Saccharomyces cerevisiae S288C: one gene and its partner. The gene in region 1 interacts genetically with each later gene. Each region holds a gene or a part of one and is shown on either strand. Other genes may lie near its edges.

Region 1 (2,868 bases):
ATTGTTCTTTAGTGAAAGAAACTGGATACTTTGAAATAATAAGCGATTCGAACTTGGTAACGAGATCGGACATTGACTCTTGAAACTCTATATTATACTTTCTTATTCAATTGGGCCCTGAAGTAAAATACGTCGCACGCTGTGTTAGGTTATCCATATGACTGAAAAATTTTCTTATCTCTTGCAAAATCGCCAAGCGGTTAGAATCCCTCAGAAACTGAAGAAAAACGCTTAATCGTTAATAATGACTATCACATACCATTATCATTTATTTGTTCATATATATGTTCATATATATGTACATATATATATATATATATATATATATATGACTATTTATTGCTATGCATTATAAAGAAAGACTTGGCTCTCTGAATTACCAGTATGAAAAATGAAAAACCGCTGGCAAGTTTTCATTGCATAATGGCGCTTTTTTCGTTTTTATGTCGATAGGACTCTGTTATATAGTAATAAATGTCTAAATTTGCAGTTCCGCACTCTCATTGTCTCAAAACATCTTCGATGAACTTCTTGTAGTCAATTTCTCCGTTGCTGTCCACTTCAACACCCTTCAACAGCTCGTCTACTTCAGCGTCGGTTAACTTTTCACCCAAGCCAGTTAGCATGTACCTTAAGTCACCAACGGATACCTTGCCTGTACTTTCCTTGTCGAAGACCTGGAATGCCTTGACGAAGTCTTCTGTCTTTGCCTTGGTAGTTGCATCCAATTCCTTTTCGTTGACTTCAATTAGGCCTGTAATCTGGTCCAGCGTCAAGCTAGAGGCGTCTCTCAAGCTCGAATCCGCGTTTATGATGTCCTGTACGAGCTGGTTGGTGGGGTTGTAGCCAATTGCCCTCAGGTAATCTCCCAAGGAATCCTTGGCAATGGCGCCTTGACCCTTCTTGTCGAATAGTGTGAAAATATCTTTATTGGCTCTGGTGGCTGACATTGTTATTCTATGTATGTGCGATGGGTGGTGGCGGAATACGCTGGGGAAGGAACTCTTATACGTCGATCTACTCTGAGTATTATTTTGTTTCAAATCTTACTTCAAAATGCTTTTGTTACTACTCGTGTGTAATGATATATGGTTGAGGTTCCTGACTGAACAAGATTCGAAAAAATGTATTCAGTATGGCATTGTAATGAGGGTCTAAGCAATAAGTAAAAGAAGGTGAGGTTTCAGTGTCATTTTCTTACACTATTCGGAGAGTCCATATACTGCAAAAGGGACAATGATGCTTAGAAGAAATGCGGTGAGATCGTTAAAAACTATGGAAATAAGCGTAAGCAACGTTGTTAACTCCGGTTCGATAGCAATGCTGAGAGGTAAGCTTGCCAACGTAGTTCTTAGCGACCGTACTTACCACTCCAGTCCGATATTTCATAAAAATGTACCTAAGGGCGTTTTGGACAAGAAGAATGGGCGAGAACAGCGCAAAACAGAACAGAATGTGTTTAATGTGGATCCAGCTTCTCCATGGCGCCACGAGCTTCTTTCGTTTGATGAGTGTGTATCATCTGCTTTAAAGTACTCTACCACGCCTTTGCAAAATACATACAAAAGAATAGGAAACAACCAATTGAATAAAAATCCATCATTCGCCATGTTTTGGGACTCCATGGGCAGAGCAATGGAGTTATACTATTCTTTGAGAGAATCGCCTGATTTCAATGCGTACCGGGTGTCACGTTTGATTCATCTGCTGCATAACGGTCTGAGGTCGACGAGAGACCAATTGGTAAAATTAAGTAGAAAGCCAGACTACGATTCGCAATCTTTTCACAAGGAAATGATGAACTTTCTATGTAATTCATTAAAGGATATATCTGATGACATTTTGATAGGCAAGGTGTCTGTCAGCGGATATGGAGCTACTCATCTATTGACTTCATTTAAAGAGCTGTCATTTGACGATGACTGTATTCGAATTTGGGAAGCGTCAAAGAATTTGTCCGACGAGACTACTTCACAGGCATTCCAAGAACCAAAAGTGGTTGGTTTTATGCTGCCATTACTTTATGCAAAAACGCGTTCTCTGACTGAGCCTAACGAGCTATATAACCAAATTATTCAATCCAAAGAATTTATCCATCCCAATCTTTACAGCGGACTGATAAAAGTCTTCATCAAGGCGGAAGACTACGAAAAGGCATTATCCCTCTTCGGCCAATTATGTGAAAAGGCTGAAGTGAGGAATTACGGTTATTTAATTGAAACGCACTTAAGCTTCATTGGTGATTCCAAGAATTTAACGTTGGCAGAAAGTTTCTTTGACAAAATTATCAACGATGAAATGCCATACAAGATTATTTTACAAGTCTCTACAGTGAACTCTTTTTTGCAGAATATATGGAAAGCACAGAACGATTTTGATCATGTTTATAGAATATGGGAAAAGGCTGTAAAATTTTATGGTAACACTGTTAATCCTGGAATTTTGTCCTCACTAAACAACACTTTTTTCACAATATTCTTCGAAAACTATATTAATGACAATATCAATGGTTTCCGTAAGCTTCAAGAAATCATAACGTTTTACAGTGGGGTCAAAAAAATTGATGAACCATTTTTTAACGTTATGTTAACTAGAGCATCTATCTGGCACGAACGCAGCATAATCGATTTTATCGATAAAAACTATACTTTGTACCATATTCCAAGAACTATTATATCATATAGAATACTACTGAAATCATTGGGAAGCATAGACAACACGAATAATGAAGAGATTCTGGATAGATGGCTGGAGTTGGTCAAGAAACTGAATGAATTGGGCCAACAATATATAGCCAATGCTGATCTGTCCGCTTTGAGGGATGCCACTGTCGTATGGTCACAATCAAAGAGGGATGAAAAGGTCTTT
Region 2 (4,481 bases), on another chromosome or scaffold:
TCAGCAACCTTGATCAATGGAACCTTGTTTTCTGGGTCGTTAGCCAAACCTTCAACCAACTTGATAATGTTAGCTTCAGTAACAGAGCTGACCAAAACAACCAATAAAGCTTCACCTCTGGTTAAAGCCTTGGTAGATTCTCTCAAACCTCTAGCTAGACCATCGTGAACCAAAGCGGTTCTCAAAACAACCTTCAAAGCATCTTCGATAGTAACTTCGGCAGTTTGTTCAACAACAGTTTCTTCTTGAACTTCAACGACTTCTTCAACGTCAGACATTTTTCTTCTCAATAATATATAGTCTAGTTTTTGACTTCTTCGACAGTAAGATAATTAAACTGCTCCGTGAAGAGTTTTGAATTGGGAAAAACAATTGAACAAGGAACACTTATAGACCTGTTGTGATAAGAGATGACATAACTTTTATAATATGTCCTGCGGAGAATTCGATGAAATTTTGCAAATTGTAAGTTTGCTTGAAAGTTTGCTTGCGGGTAAGGTATTCTGAAAAAAATAAAATGATTCCACAATGGAAATGTGAAGATGTTGTAAACAAATCAAATGTACGGATGCACAATGGTAAACAGTACTGGATTTCTTTTTATATCACCGTTGAGCCGAAACAAACCCCGAAATAACCATTTAATATGCCAAGATGTACAAACCTCGTCTTTGCTTATTCAACTGCTACATTCGCAATACCTCAATAACGAGGTGCGTATATACATGAAGCAGAATTTTTTTTTACATATATATACTATTCATTAACTTGTAAGAAGACATTAATCACCGTTTCCTGAAGGGAAAAAAATACTAAATAGAATATGTCTTGCTCGTCATATCTCCATTTCACCTACAAATTCACCGGAACCTTCCATATTGACATCGTCGTCATCGTCTATGGCATTTTCAAATTGTTCCGCATTAGCAACGCCGCTAGCCTGTATTTCATCCTCATCTTCAAAATCTAAATCGAAGAAGTCATCATCACTGCCAACTATCTTTTCGTATAAAACTTTGGCTGCGGTGACTACTTCATCATACGATATCTCAGCAGAAGGCATGGTTGTATATATGACGCCATTATCACTCGCACCGGGAATATACTTTTTTTCCAAATCTTGATTTACATCAAAGAAGGAGGAGTTAACTACACCAAAGGGTGGCGTGGATGTGTATTGGGTATAATAAAGTTTAAATAAGAACTGTAATCTTTCCCTAGGAACATACTCCTTAAAAGATTGGCCTAACTTAACTGAATTTACTATTGTATGACCATTTCCCGTTAGTTGAACAATTTCTTCGTCGTTCTCTAAACCTGAAGACGATTCCCTTAGCAGGGCCATTTCCATAGCTTCTAGAGCGGCATCAATGTCCATTTCAGCACGTGGGCCTTGTTCTGTGGTCGATAAATACCATACAATAGTTCCTTCTGGACAAATTTCGCTGCCAGCACCGAGAATAAAGGCTTGTACTACTTCCTTATTACCAGATTTCAAAGAGCCAGGAGGGAAGACTACCATGGCGGCCGATTCACCCTCATTGAACCATTCAGTACAGGGGTTTTCAACTATACAGGTCAAACGATGAACCTGGTACTGTTGTTGAGGGACATGCTTACTGTCTTTAGGTGCTTGCGTAGGCGATATTATCACTTTCTCTGAAACTTCAACTTTGGATCCATCTTGGAATGTGGCCACTTTAGTTGTAGGGTTGAAGGATACCAATTTCTCATTGAGTTTGTAAGTAGCGCCACCTACAGCGGCAGATCTACAAAACCCTTGCGACAATTCTCCTGGCCCACCATACTTGGAGCATAGTGCAGGGAATGGTCCATAAACATCGAAACTAGTTAGATATCGACGAATCCTTTGTAAAGCTTCTGGTACTTTTACGTTGAGATCATAACATAACCCAATTGAGAAGATTAATTCGAAGACTTGTGGTTTTTCTAATTTAAACTTTTCCCCTAAAAAATCAGACATGGTCCTCTCCGCGTAGGGTTGCCATATTTCCGTTTGTGCTTCCCAGTTGAGTACGAATTTGATAAATTTCATTAAGTTCCTCTTTGTCATTAGTGGTAGGTTTTGATCCGTGAATATTTCTTGCTTTGTATTTGTTAGTTTTTCGAAACAATCATTTTCATAAGTATGGAAATTAGATAAAGATTGGAATTCTAAATACTGGTGAACTCTTGATTTGATTAAGATGGATAATAAATCAGATTTTGCAAATAGGATCTTCGGGGAAAGATCAATACCGAAATCTCTTGAAGAATATTTACCACTACCGATTAGCGTGGATACATACAACTTCGCATTTTTATAGCAACTTACTGAGCCTTCATTAACTTCATTTACCCATCTTTTGATTTGGTCTACAGTTAGTGTGGCTGAAGTGTCACCGTAATAATCATTCTTATCAATATGAAGGACATTGGAACCTTGCCAAGCTAATGCAGCAGCCAATACACTCTCTACCATACCAGTCCCTGCGATTAAAACATCAACTTTATCTGGTGTAGTGGCTGGCAAAGGGTCTTCAATACCGGCTAAATGCGGGACAACTAGAGGACTTGGATTTTGAGTAAAACTGAAAAATGATGGGCGGCGTTCTGCCATGGATGGTCTACGTTCAGGACTTAACATAACTTTTTTTCGGTCAATATTAGTCTTCCTTTTTTTATTTGTATTATAGAAACTGAAATGTTGCTGTTAAACCCTTAAAAAAACAGTAATAAATTAAACTTAAATGTTTATATCCGAAGGCAGTATCCTAGTGTCTTTTAGTTTATTATCGCAATGTGATAGTTTATCTTTCAATAATGATGGAACGGAATAAAAATTTTTCTTGTACTGATTGAATTTAGTTGCGAATTAACCGTACGCACAATCAGTGTATATTACTTCTGTAAAATCAAATGTGCAACAACTTTTGAATATATTTAATGACGGGAAAAGAACACGGGAAACGCTACTATTGTTGTATAGTGCGATATAGAACCTTTTTTTATCTTCTTCACTTGTTCTGTTTTCTTTTTTTTTTTTTTTTTTTTTTTCAAGTTCCACGAAAAAATTTTCTCGTTTTCCTTTAGTCACTCTTGTCACATAAGGATTATCCGAACCCCGCCCCGCGGAATTAATTAGTTGGCTAGATTCATGCTTGGTAGAATGAATTGTAAGACAGCTCCTCTCAAGTAAAGGCTCGAAATGTCTTCGCGACCGGCTACTACACCTCCTATTAAGGTCATGGTTCCTTTGACCAGTTCTATAGTACCTGCGACGGCCAATACTTGGTGGGGTGTGCCGACATGAGGATCCATAATGACAGATTCTTTAGTATCTCCATCATTTCGTATTAGCTTGCAACCTTGAAGGCATTGTGTATTTAAATCCACGACATTTATAACGCCACTTCCGAGTGGAACACCCGATATTACTTCTTCAGGAAGAGTTTCGTCCCGGTATATTCGGTCAACATCACCTTGTCGTAGACCCCCGATAAGCACAACCTTGTGGCCTACAGTTGTCATTGAGTGTCCTACCATACATAAGTTGATAGGTACCAAACCATCAGATTCCTCTTGTGTTTTGGCATAAAGGTCTATTTTAGTCCAGGTTTCGGAATCGAAGTCAAACCACCACATATCGCTGCAAACGTCATAGCCATCTGAACCTCCGTGGAACGCAATAGTTCTTCCGATTGATGCACATTTTTTTGATGGATTCAATGGTGGTGTATGTTTAGGGCTTGTGGGAGGACTGGATGTGGTATTCCTGGTAGACTTTGAAGAAGTGTCTTCACTAGTACTATTATTAGAATTGGAAATATGCATACTATCGCGACCACTCTTCTTCTCCTTCCTTGAATGTGGGATATTCGGAAAAAGTGGTTGAGAAGGCTTATTTCCTGGGCGTATTTCCAAATCGATGGAGAAGTCATTTTTCAAGTTCCTCAGTAATCTCGTTTCTATGGGTTCAACATCCTTGGTAAAATAATCTGGTACACAGCACGCTGAAAAGGCTCTTCTGCTCGGCCATAATTCTGGATCATCAATAATAGGGATCTTAGTAGCAGTTACAGTATCTGCAAATTTATAATAATTACGTTTCCCACGAGAAACTACAGGGATATTTATCTTCCACATGTCATTCATAGCTTCATACTTGTCGTCACCAGTCTGACTATACCCTCCAAAGATCAGAATGGTATTAACAGATGAGCAAATGTGTGTTGCTGTGCTACAATGTTTGGAAGAGAGACTATCTGTAGACCTTGGGTTTGTTACAGGTGGAATTGCATCATCCTCTAAATAGTCCGTACTTCCTGGTGAACCAACCAAATCATCTATTTTGTGATCCCCATTACCTTGGCGATATGGGCTTATCGACCTTCTTCCTTTCGCACTTGTTGTGGTATTTTCATTGGATACATTGTTGTTGGAATTACTTATTGATGCCTGCATGTGACCAAATCTTGGCG

The links.
Region 2: of MLC1 (region 1) and MRS6, extra expression of one rescues a mutant of the other (dosage rescue), as found in Saccharomyces cerevisiae (one study listed by BioGRID).

The regions. Positions count from the first base shown.
Region 1 is NC_001139.9:304,642-307,509, reverse strand, and holds MLC1 (Mlc1p), read right to left. Parts: upstream 951-2,868; coding exon 501-950; downstream 1-500. Other genes in the region: ARC1 (Arc1p), read right to left, coding at 1-73; RMD9 (Rmd9p), read left to right, coding at 1,237-2,868. UniProt on the Saccharomyces cerevisiae protein: Essential light chain for the class II conventional myosin MYO1. Also acts as light chain for the class V unconventional myosin MYO2 and for IQG1.
Region 2 is NC_001147.6:1,028,348-1,032,828, forward strand, and holds MRS6 (GTPase-activating protein MRS6), read right to left. Parts: upstream 2,648-4,481; coding exon 836-2,647; downstream 1-835. Other genes in the region: 40S ribosomal protein eS12 RPS12, read right to left, coding at 1-278; GPB1 (Gpb1p), read right to left, coding at 3,142-4,481. UniProt on the Saccharomyces cerevisiae protein: Substrate-binding subunit (component A) of the Rab geranylgeranyltransferase (GGTase) complex. Binds unprenylated Rab proteins and presents the substrate peptide to the catalytic component B.